3 linked regions of the Nothobranchius furzeri genome follow. The protein of the gene in region 1 binds, or shares a complex with, the protein of each later gene. Links are inferred from orthologs where the notes say so. Each region holds a gene or a part of one and is shown in the gene's direction. Other genes may lie near its edges.

Region 1 (4,229 bases):
TACAAGTTCTACAGAAGTTTTTGTTGGTGACATTTTCACTGGGCAGAAACCATGCATACAGCTCAGGTCATCGTGCTGTTGAGTCTCCACGGTAAAGCGAACCTGCTGCGTCGGAATGTTACCTTTAGAGGCATTTGTTCACTTTTTGAACTCAGATGTTTATTAATCTGGCTCCTCTCGGTAAACGATTGTGACGAGAAGATCACACCTCTGTTATGCTCCCTTCTACATGTCTGATCAGCGTCAGGATCTCCCTGGTTCATCTCATTATACAAACAACAGAATGTTATTTTTCCATGCTTTAAGCCCAACTACTGTCTGTAAACTGCAGCAGGTCTGTGTGTTGTTGCTAACCTACACTATGCATGTCTCATTGTAGAATAGGCATTCCAGCATGATACACAGAGGATGTTGCACTGTTAATACTAACACACATTTTTTTCATCATCAGGCTGTTTTATATTGATTATGAACTTTTGAAAGAATATTTTTACTCTCTACATATTTCTTGTTTGTGTATATAACAGTGAAGAGTATGGTCAAATAGAACCCTGCCCTTTCAAGCTGCTACTCTGCAGAAGGTTAAAGTGCCTTTTTGTTTGTACTCACTTGGATGTGGTCAAAAATGTATTTTTTTTATTTATTTCCCACACAGTTAACTAACTAATGCATTATCCATTTCTACTGATGTTAAAAAGTGCATTGCAGTCTTATCATTTCTGCTGTTTAAGTATTTGATAGTAAAATCCAGAAATTTTCCCCTCATGATGTGTTTGTTACGCCACTACCTAAAGCCCAAGTACTGAATAATGAAGCCAAACCTCAATGTTATTCTGATTTCATGACTCAACTTTTCCTTCATCAGTATTTGTTTTGTTCACTCATACTTGTAGATTTATTTTACCATTAAATGAAATACTTTGTCACCTATATCAGATGCATTTGTTCATTTTATGTTGTTTGTAAGTAGTATGTATATGGTGGATTGAAATAAAATGAATTATAGTATGTCAATAGATCAATTAATGTGCAAACAAATGCAAGAGCGGGATTGAAATTATGTGTATTGATTGCTTTGAATTTTTCACTGAGAAAATAATATAAATCACAACAAAAATATACCTTTTCCTCAAAGCGCTGATCAGCAAAGAGAAAAACAACACAAATATCAGCGATATTAGTAACAATTGTTCATCTTTTTATTATGTGTAATTCAGTAAAGATTTCGTGTTTTTTGTTTAATACTTATGTTGATATTTAATGTTTTGATGAACAATAGCTGTACAAACGGGGAAAAAAGACCATAGCGGAAGTGAACTGCTGTCGCGCATGCGTATTAGTACTGCACGACCGATTACGCTGACTTTCGGAGAACGTTACCTTGGATTGGCTACAAACGCGGAAATAAGGCTAACAATCATCTGCTTTTATTTGAGAGAAAAATAGTCTTATTTTTCGCATATTCACGCCACAAATACTCGTTATTTAGTGCAGATAGTGGAGTTAAACTGACATAAGATATAATTGAAGATATAAGCTGTCGCCTGTGTCCTTGTTCCGTTTGTCAGCTGGCCGGAGTTCAGTATGGATGTCGACGCGGACGGCTCAGTGGCGATGTCGGAGGAGTCGGGGAGGAGGCGAAAGGTGCACGGCATGCTGAAGCTTTACTACGGGCTGAATGAAGAAGGAAAGGCCCCAGAGCAACCGGAGTCTCTGAATCCCTGCGACATCAACGGGCCGCATTTTGACCCGGAGCTGTACCTTAACAAGGTGCTGTGAGATATCAGCTGTTGGCTTTAAGTGTTGTCATGTTTTAGACATAGTCTGTGTGGCTGTAGTTAAAGAATTCCATATGATCATTGGGGATTTTATTTTATTTTGTATCCTGAATGTGAGTTATAAATGATCTTTGACTGATCTGTGTCCTATTACAGCTCAGAAAGGAGTGCTCTCTTGCTGAGTTGATGGACCAAGAGACCTGCATGGTGAAGCAGATCCGCTCTTTGGACAGCGACATGCAGACCCTGGTCTATGAAAACTACAATAAATTCATATCTGCTACAGGTAAGTGGAGCATCACACACACACACACATCTGCTTCAGTCATAACCTGGATGTGTGCAATCATGTTTTTATTTTATTTTTGCTAGACACCATAAGAAAGATGAAGAATGATTTCAAAAAGATGGAAGACGAAATGGACTGCCTGTCTACAAACATGGCGGCAATCACTGACTTTAGTGCTCGGATCAGCGGGACGCTCCAAGATCAGCATGCACAGATCACCAAACTCTCAGGTTAGACTGCAAATTGTCTTTTGGATTGTTCTTCAGAGACTTTGTTCATGCTTGTTCCTCTCGTCATGTTCCATGTTAGGGGTCCACATGCTGCTAAGGAAGCTTCAGTTTCTGTTTGAGCTGCCTGCGAGGTTGAACAAGTGTCTGGAGCTGCAGGCGTATGCTCAGGCAGTGAGCTTCCACCGGCGTGCACGCTGCGTGCTGCAGCAGTACAGCCATCTGCCCTCCTTCAAGGGAATTCAGGATGACTGTCACGCCATCATGGAGAAGCTCGCTCAGGAGCTTCGACAGAAATTCAGGTGCCAATTTCCTAACCCATTTGCAAAAAACTGATTTAATTATAAAGAGCTGCCTATGAGATCTCTGGCTTTCTTTTCTCCTGTGCACAAAGGGATGGCGGTACGAGTGCCAAAGATTTGTCTGAGTGTGTGGAGCTGCTCCTTCAATTGGACGAGCCTGCAGAGGAGCTCTGTGATAAATTCCTGAGCCATGCCCGGTCTCGACTCGAGTTAGATCTCCAGAGCCTAGAAGCAGAGATAAAACCCTACCCAGCTTCAAAGAAAGAAGCATCTACACGCAGATCCTCAGGTAACATGTCCTCTGGATCTCCGACTGATAACTCCCCTAAGATGAGCTCTCTGTCGTCTCCCACCTTGAACACAGACATCTTGGAGTTCATAGACAGAGGATGCAATGAATTTGTGAGCAGCTTATGTTTAGTGATTACATCCTATCAAGAACTGTTCATCAACCATGCTCAGACAGGGGAACTAGCTTCAAAGAACATCCTTCAGATGGCAAATGGTAAGCTGCACACCTTTGTGGATGATTTGACCACCCGGTATTTCTCACTCGTTGAGAGGAGGATACAGGAAGAGAAAGGGGTTAGTGATAACTCCCTCCTGGTCCGTGCACTCGACCGCTTCCACCGCAGGCTACAGGCTGTGTCCAAACTGCTGCCAGGCTCGGCGGTGCCCAACAGGGGGACAGAAATTGTCATAAGAGCAGCTACAGAGCGTGTGAAGCAGTACCTGTGTGCCCTGCAGAACTTCTACATGGACAGCCTGACGGATGTGAGACAGGCCTTGGCGACGCCTCGGCTCTCTGTGGCTGGAGGTGCAGCACATCTAGGTGGACCTGTCACGGGTAGAGATGCACCAGCTAGCCTACCAGAGCTGCTCTCTTCTTTGTCAGCTTCTATTCTCAACCAGATTAAGTCGGTGCTGGCGTCGGTTCACCTCTTCACAGCTAAGGACATCACGTTCTCCAATAAGCCGTACTTCAAGGTGAGTGTTCCCCTTTAAACCAGCCGGTTCGATAATTCTGTGCCTTGATTCTGCACTTTTGTGGATGTGGCTGCTATTTTTCTTTCTTTCTCTCCTCCTCCTCCCAGGGGGAATTCTGCAGCCAAGGTGTGCGCGAGAGTCTGGTGGTGAGCTTCATCAAGTTTGTGTGCCAGTCCTCTCGCAACTTTTGTGAAAGCGCGGGAGACAAAGGAGGTTCCACTCCTCCAGCCCTTCTGTTGCTGCTGTCCCGGCTCTGTTTGGACTTTGAAACGTCCACCATCTCCTACATCCTCACACTCACAGACGAACAGTTCCTTGTGCAGGTTTTACACCACCATTAACCAAAGCACTGTGCTTTTTTACTGTCCTGAATGGTTCTGCTCACGTTTCGTTTTTATCCTCCAGCACCACAGTCCCATAACACCGGTCACAGCTTTGTGCGCAGAAGCCAGAGAGGCGGCACAGAAACTACTCAATCATTATGTCAAGGTGGGTTTGTTTCTTTTCCTTTTTATGATTAACAAGTAAAACAGTTTAGAGTCTAGAGCCTTATGAGTGCCTAGTAATAATATGTCTTGTTTGGTCCAGGTTCAGGGTCTGATCATCTCCCAGATGTTAAGGAAGAGTGTTGAAACGCGCGACTGGG
Region 2 (4,331 bases), on another chromosome or scaffold:
ATAAGACCTTTCTCGTCTGCATACAACTCGAACAACGTCAGCTATCGCGTCCATCTTGATCCGAGAGTAGCAGGTTCTGTGTAGCATGCAAATGGCTGGATCCCCGTCTTCTCCATCGTGAACGCAACTTTCGCGTCCAACTCCGCCACTTAAAAAAAAAAGTCCTGTTTTCAAACACTCGTCTCCGTCATCCTCGTCACCATTGTTGTGTGTGTCGATCTTACTTTATTAATGAGATAGGACATTCTGAATTGGGGCTGCTCAGTGGCACAGTGGTTAGAGCTGTTTCCTTGCAGCGAGAAGGTCCTGGGTTCGCTTCCCAGCCTGGGATCTTTTTGCGTGGTTTGCATGTTCTCCCTGTGCATGTGTGAGTGTCTCTGTGTTGCCTGGCTCTCTGTAAAGGGTGTACCCCGTCTGATTGCCCATTGACTGCTGGAGACAGGCAACAAACCCCCACCCCCACCCCACCCCACCCCCCAGATGAGGCCCGCGGAGCATTCTTATGTGGCCCGCGAGATAAATATCAAAAATATATTAAAACTGGCCCGCTGGCCGATTTTACCGCAAAGACTACAACTTCCATGATGCTTTGCGGCGTCAGCGCGCAGCCGACGCGCCCCCTCCTTTGTGTTTTTTCCAGCGCCTGCTGCCGGTGTCAGCAGCTCTGCTGTCTCGGACAAACTAAACACTCCTCTCACTCAGCGCCGAGTTCACTCAGCTGTTTTCTGACGTTGAAGCCCAGAAACGGAGATTCTAGCCGCTCAGTAATGTGTTCACGACTGAAAGAGAAGTTTTCCAACTAACGTCCAGACAGAGCCGATATAACTCCAGCGAGCAGCGACACGCTCAAACCAGCACGACTCTGTGGTCGTGTTTCCTCCCCGACACACAACAACGTGCTCAAGCTGCTCAGACATGTTCATCAGCACAAACCTATGTGAGCACCTGTTGTCATCTAATGTTGTCATTATTATGATGAAGATGAGCAAAACAACAGGAGTCTCCTCCTCAGCTCAGACCAACCCCATGATGCAGGTATCTGGCTGGAACAGGTGAGCATCACAGTAAACCAGTGGAGCAAACTGAGCTTTAAATATGTTGGTTTTATGCTCTTTTTCTGCTCCAAAACATGAAAGTTAACAGGTGAGATGTTGCATTTTCATTTAAGATTAAATGATATTTGTATTTTGTTGTTGGCCCGTGAGCAGGGGCGGATTTAGGACTGAAGAAGATCCGGGGCTTAACGCACACATGCACGCGTGCACACACACACACATGACACGCACTAGTCAACATCATATATATTTGTCTTGTACCACATAATTTTTAATCTGAAGCTACATATTAAGCATTTTCAGGGCAGAGTATTGTTCCTGTTAGTGTTTAGTGTGAGATGATAGTAAATATTCCCGTTCTTTCTCCAACAACTTTACCTGATAGTAAGCTAACTTTAGGCAAACCAGCAGCACAACAAATATTTTCTAATAAGACTCACAAACCTGAGTCAACACCAGTCTCATCAAAGCTGGGGTTCTGTCGCCGTACTTTTGGTCTAAAAACGTCCTTATGTCCATCTTCACTCATGCGTTTCAGGCAGAGAGTGTAGAAGAAGCCGGCTGCTGAAGGGCTTCTTCTTCAGTGGTGGAGGCTCAGGCAGGCTGTATACAAACTACTGCCAGCTGCTCCCTCTCTGTTGGACTTTGGTACTGCATGTTACTTCCACGATTTAGATCCGGGGCTTATCATGAAACATCCAGGGCTTCAGCCCAAGTAGCCGGGCCTAACGCCGGCCCTGCCCGTGAGCAAAGATTTAACCTACAGTAAACAGGAAGTGGAAAGGCTGCAGATAGATGAATAGAATAGAAAATCTCTTTATTGTTCCTCAGTGGGAAAAGCTAGACGTCACAGCAGCGATGACACGTATTACAGGAGAAAAAAAGGAGAATAAAAAATAAGAAAAATGAATAAACAAGAAAACATAAATCCTGAAAAGATTTTAAAAATGCTGATTATACCACAAGTAATGAATACCACTGATGCCTTTTATTTAAAACCGACTTGCTCGTGTGTAATTTGGTTATTCCACATTCAGTGTTAATGCAGAAATATGTTTGTTTCCAAATTTAAAGGTTCAAAATTGCATATATGTTGATAAAGAAAATGTGCAAATTTGCCATCACTTTTTCAAAAATATTAAGTTTGGCCCTTGACTCCGTCCCAGAGTTTCATTTCGGCCCCGTGTGAGTTTGAGTTTGACACCCCTGCGTTACGTCATCACGTTCCCAATACATGACAGTTTCTACTAGCCTGGCAAGCCAGACTAAATAAATGTATTATTTATTTGCAAAGCAAGAATTTGGTCTAGTTCGCTAGGCTAAGTTTCTACAGCTAATTTTTTCCACTGATGAAGTATATATAATAGATGTACTTTTAATATTATATTAGCTAAATATTTACATACAAAATCCCCATGATTTAATAATTTCAAAGAACCTGATCTGAATGAGTATTGTATCTCTATTACCAACAGTAACTTAAAATGCCAAAATTGAAAACTAAAATAAAAGTGGTTTAAGAATATTTTAACAGATACTTTGTTGTGTTTTTGATTATATAGTGTTGTTATTTTAAGTTATGTTTAAATATGGAGTTTTTGTTTTATAATTGTTAATTTTTCAATAAAGTTTTGAAAAATAAAACTTACTTCCTGCACGGATGTGACGGAATGGTTGCCGCTAACGTGATTTGGAATCGTAGGATGTCCCAGGAAGTTCCTGCCTTTCTCGCCTCTGATTGGCTAGAACGTCTCTACTACGATTGGCTATTTCCATTTAGCAGCAAACCGTCTTCCACCGCTTAGTGCAGTCTGTGGTGTAAAGTGATAACGCGGTCCGGGTCTGCAGCCTTTCGGAGAGCCCTTGCAGCCAATCAAAGGCGAGAAAGACGGGATCTTCCTTGAACATGCTACGATTCCAATTGACGCTTCATTGCTACATGTAAACAAAGCACAGAGAGACGAGGCGATGACCAGAACCGGGCTGTAATCGGAACAAAGCCCTCGCAGCAGAGCCAGACTGAAGAATCTGGTTAGTGGACTGAACGCGAAGCGGAAAGATGTCCATGGAAGATCCATTCTTCGTCGTTAAAGGGTCAGAAGCATTGGTTATCTGCACTAAACTAAAGCTAGCATCCGCATAAAGCTCGAGCCACGACTATTTTCCGGTGCCGTGGGCAGCAGCTGTTAGCTCTAGAAGGCTGGTTCCGTTCTGGCTGGTCTGTCCAGCCCTCGATCAGAATTCCCCTGCGCGTATACAGTATGTAGTACGGTCAACGCGGGGTAGGCCTTTGTTGTTTTTCGCTTAAAAATCATGAGTGAATGGTATTCAAATGTCTTTTCACCCACAGACCTGCTGCCCACTGGGTGTTTTCCCTTTTTCAGACCATTCTCTGTAAACCCTGGAGATGGTTGTGTGTGACACTCTCAGATCAGCGGTTTCTGAAATACATGTAGTGAAAGAAAACAATCTTTTATAAAAGCACCTCTCAAAATAAAAATTACGAGGCACTTCACCAATAAAAAATGAATTAAGGCATAAAAAAGATTTCAGAGATGATTAAAAATATGTTCAAAATGAGAGAGAGAAAAATGGTGATGAAAAATAATGCTAGGAAATGGAGAGAGAAAATGAACAGGAAAGAGGGAAAACAGTGGATCCTTTGACCCAGCTCTCATCCTGGATTCTCATGTCAGTTCTCTTGTTGGCTCTTCCTTCTTCCATCTCAGGAACGTTGCTAAGCTGAGTCCCATTCTGTCCCGCTCTGAACTTGAGACAGTTCTCCACACCTTCATCTCCTCACGCTTAGACTACTGTAACTCTCTTTTCACGTGTCTGAGCAGAACCTCCCTGAACCGTCTACAGGTGGTTCAGAACGCCTGTGCTCGGCTTCTGACCAAGTCCTCCAAACACACCCACATCACCCCGCTTCTCCTCCAGCTTCACTGGCTGCCAGTCAACTTCAGGGTTCATTTCAAGATCCTGGTTCTGGTCTATAGGGCCTTACATGGACAAGCACCATCTTACATTGGTGATCTTCTTAGTCCCTACACCCCCAGCAGGTCCCTGAGGTCCAGTGATCAAAGCCTACTGGTTGTGCAGCACCAGGCTAAAGGTCAAAGGTGACAGATCATCTGCTGCTGTGGCCCCCAGACTCTGGACCTCTCTCCCCCTGAGCCTGAGATCAGTGGACTCAGTGGTCTCCTTTAAAAAGCAGCTGAAGACTCACTTGTTCAAGCTGGCTTTTGTATGACCTTCTTCACCTCTCTCTCTTTA
Region 3 (3,588 bases), on another chromosome or scaffold:
GTGGTCCAAAGTTATGTTTTCTGATGAAAGCAAGTTCTGCATTTCCTTTGGAAATCAAGGACCCAGAGTCTGGAGGAAGAGCGGAGAAGCACAGAATCCACGTTGCATGAGGTCCAGTGTAAAGTTTCCACCGTCAGTGATGGTGTGGGGTGCCATGTCATCTGCCGGTGTTGGCCCACTCTGTTTCCTGAGGTCCAGGGTCAATGCAGCCGTCTACCAGGAAGTTTTAGAGCACTTCATGCTTCCTGCTGCTGACCAACTTTATGGGGATGCAGACTTCACCTTTCAACAGGACTTGGCACCTGCACACAGTGCCAAAACCACCAGCACCTGGTTCAAGGACCATGGTATCCCTGTCCTTGATTGGCCAGCAAACTCGCCTGACCTTAACCCCATAGAAAATCTATGGGGTATTGTGAAGCGGAGGATGCAATACGCTAGACCCAACAATGCAGAGGAGCTGAAGACGACTATCAGAGCAACCTGGGCTCTCATAACACCTGAGCAGTGCCACAGACTGATCGAGTCCATGCCACGCCGCATTACTGCAGTTATTGAGGCAAAAGGAGCCCCGACTAAGTATTGAGTGCTATACATGCACATTCTTTTCATGTTCATTCTTTTCAGTTGGCCAACATTAGAGAAACAAACATTTTTTCATTGGCCTTTAGAATATTCTAATTTTCTGAGATACCAGATTTGATGTTTTCATTGGTTGTCACCTATAAATATCAAAATTAAACGTAATAAACATCGGAAATACATTGGTCTGTGTGCATTGCATGAATATAATGTACAAGTTTCACGTTTTGAATGGAATTACTGAAATATTTTCAACCTTTTGATGATATTCTAATTTACTGGCCAGCACCTGTAAATTCTGCACAAGTTTTGACTGCTGCAGATGCTTTTTCTTTTTTGTCCAGGAGAGGGCAGCAGATGACAGTAAAGAAGTGGAAAGCTTCCAGCAGCTGCTCCTGGCCAGAACTCAGGTAGCTAACACGTAACCTCCCTTATTTCAAAACGTTTTCATGTCATTTATTCTGTATTTTTATTAAGAATTAGATGGTTTCATTTTCATTCTTTCCTTTTTTCCCCATTTCTCTTTTAAATCCAAATACTAAAATGATGCCATTCTAACATTTTGACGTATAATGTGAAACAAAACAAAAACCTGACATCTAAAGCATTTTTCTCTGTTTTTCCTGAATTTTGTCCCTTCAGGAGTTTATTGAGGAGATTTTGTCTCCTCCCTTTGGGGGGATGATTGCCTTTGTGAAGGAAGCCGAGGCGCTGATGGAGAAAGGACAGCTGGACCGGCTGAAGAACGAGGAAGGTGAGAGAGAAACTAACAGATAATGCCTAGAGGGCTTCGGTGTTTTCAGTATCGTCTGTTCTCTGGTTCTGGTGAAAGGTGACCAACGTAGAAGCACACAATGTCATGTTGGGTTTTTTGGTTTGTTTAACTGATAAAAGCTCTGAAACTGTCAGAAGGAAACGGTTAAAGTCAACAAACTGTCCTGGTCAGAGTTTTTCTTCTTCTGAATGACAACAGTCACCAATTCTTCTGAACTGTGTGTACTGAAACTCTAATTTCCCTCTGGGATTAATAAAGTATCTTTGATTTGATTCTGTAAATGACTTTATTTTCTGGGTAAAAATCTCAGAAATGCTTTTAATGAAGGTACAAAGAGCCTCCTTGAGTTTTAGTTTATCCAGAAACACCAGGAAGCATCACATGAACGTCTATACAGGCTGCTTTCTTTTTACCGTTCAGTTTAGGCCCTGTCCACACGTAGCCGGGGAGCTGCCAAAACGTAGATATGTTTCTACGTTTTGGCCTGTCATCCACACGAAAACTGAGTTTTTTCACTCGAAAACGGATCTTTTTAAAAACTCCAAAGTGAAGATCTGCGTTTTCTCCGTTTTGGGTGTCTGCGTGTGGACAGACAAAACCGGAGTTTTAAGGTCCGCAACGTCACTTTCCACGACAAAACAATGCTGACATCACGTGTGCGACCTGTGTTTACACTAGCCGACATCATGGATGCCCTCAGAGCTGCGCTCGCTTTATCAATTGTCCAAGCGCTTTTTGCTTGTTTGTTTTTGCAAGCGGAATTACTGCTCCTTGTGGAAGACCACAGACGAAGGACGAGGTTAAGAACGGGGGAAGTACTGCCGCCTACAGGTCTGGCATGTCCTTAACAACGTATTTATCCGGGTACGTGTGGACAGAGTTTTTTTAAACAAGGTGGTGTGGATGCAAGTTTTTGGAGGGGCGGATATTCGTTTTTTTAAAAACCCGGCTACGTGTGGACTAGGCCTCAGATTTACAGAGAAAAAGCTACTTCCTGTCTAAGCGTTTTATTGTTCCTGATCGTTTCTCTTTCGAACGTCCGAAGCCACAAAACAATCACTTCATATGACCACATCCTACATTCTGTCTAAGGAAATGAGTGAAACTATACAGGAAACAGAAAAACACAGCCATGATGTTAACCATGCTGTGTGTGTGTGTGTGTGTGTGTGTGTGTGTGTGTGTGTGTGTGTGTGTGTGTGTGTGTGTGTGTGTGTGTGTGTGTGTGTGTGTGTGTGTGTGTGTGTGTGTGTGCGTGCGTGTGCGTGCGTGCGTGCGTGCGTGTGTGTGTGTGCAGCTCGCATCACCCAGCTCATCCGGGGCTTTTCAAGCACTTGGAAACAATCAGTGGAGTCGATGAGCCAAGAGGTCATGAGATCTTTCACCAACTTCAAAAATGGAACCAGCATCATACAGGTGAGTTAGTCAGCAGGTGTGTTACACACACACACACACACACGTGCGCTTTCTTTGGCGCAACTAAGCCCAGCCCAGAATAATGACAACGGGAGCGTCGGTGTAAATCATCTCAGAGAATGAATCATATCCTGAAAACCTGAAACATTTCCTACAAATAAACTTTAATGTTACCAAAATCACTTTGAGCAGAGGATGTAAAGAAAAACTAGAAACACATTTTCATTCCTTTGTGCTGCCTTGTAGATCCCTACTGCCTCTGTAAACACTACCACATGAAAAATGCAAAAGGAAAGGGAATTAAATGCTTAAAATGAGTTGTTTCCAAAAGTCCCGGTTTGTGACATCACTAAAGGAAAATTAGAATAGAAACCCCTCTCACCTGTGGAACTCAAAAGTATTCAAAATTCAATAAATAAATAAGACATTATGAAATAAATATCCACGTGAAGAAATACTAGACAATCATGTAATCTGACAATGAAATGATGAAATAACAGAATGTTATGTAAAATCTAAGCTCAATATTCTGAAATATTTTTCATTCTTCTTTTAAAATGTCTTTATTAATATAAAGTTTTTTTCAAGTCATTTTTTCATAATAATCCAAATTAATATTGAGCCATTTTTATTTAATTCATTCAGTTTTTATTACATAACGTCTTTTTAACAAAAACAGCTTTTATTTCACAGTAGTGTTTTTTCCCATGGCTGATTTATTTCATAATGAGACTTTACAGCAGAGTGTCTCAGTGTTTTTATTGAATTTTGAATACTTTTGAGTTCCATAAGAGAGAGCTGCTGCTGGAGCAGCA

The links.
Region 2: the proteins of vps51 (region 1) and stx6 are in contact, whole or in part, in a crystal structure (PDB 4J2C), measured with the Homo sapiens proteins. The link is inferred for Nothobranchius furzeri from reciprocal best matches to the Homo sapiens genes VPS51 and STX6. Residues at the interface, in NP_037397.2 of Homo sapiens: Ala33, His34, Met36, Leu37, Leu39, Tyr40, Tyr41, Gly42, Leu43; in NP_005810.1 of Homo sapiens: Met3, Glu4, Asp5, Pro6, Phe7, Val9, Val10, Glu13, Trp59, Asp60, Asp63, Leu64, Glu66, Thr67, Ile70, Val71, Phe78, Arg88.
Region 3: vps51 (region 1) and vps52 share a complex: the UniProt entries of both Homo sapiens proteins name them as parts of the endosome-associated retrograde protein (EARP) complex. The link is inferred for Nothobranchius furzeri from reciprocal best matches to the Homo sapiens genes VPS51 and VPS52.

Annotation. Positions count from the first base shown.
Region 1 is NC_091750.1:53,409,317-53,413,545, forward strand, and holds the start of vps51 (vacuolar protein sorting-associated protein 51 homolog), read left to right. Parts: upstream 1-1,409; 5' UTR 1,410-1,584; coding exon 1,585-1,770; intron 1,771-1,934; coding exon 1,935-2,064; intron 2,065-2,150; coding exon 2,151-2,297; intron 2,298-2,376; coding exon 2,377-2,596; intron 2,597-2,688; coding exon 2,689-3,583; intron 3,584-3,690; coding exon 3,691-3,906; intron 3,907-3,988; coding exon 3,989-4,072; intron 4,073-4,171; coding exon 4,172-4,229. UniProt on the Homo sapiens protein: Acts as a component of the GARP complex that is involved in retrograde transport from early and late endosomes to the trans-Golgi network (TGN).
Region 2 is NC_091748.1:80,951,155-80,955,485, reverse strand, and holds the start of stx6 (syntaxin-6), read left to right. Parts: upstream 1-1,443; 5' UTR 1,444-3,114; coding exon 3,115-3,149; intron 3,150-4,331. UniProt on the Homo sapiens protein: SNARE promoting movement of transport vesicles to target membranes. Targets endosomes to the trans-Golgi network, and may therefore function in retrograde trafficking.
Region 3 is NC_091759.1:11,210,122-11,213,709, forward strand, and holds part of vps52 (vacuolar protein sorting-associated protein 52 homolog), read left to right. Parts: intron 1-926; coding exon 927-992; intron 993-1,224; coding exon 1,225-1,336; intron 1,337-2,654; coding exon 2,655-2,773; intron 2,774-3,588. UniProt on the Homo sapiens protein: Acts as a component of the GARP complex that is involved in retrograde transport from early and late endosomes to the trans-Golgi network (TGN).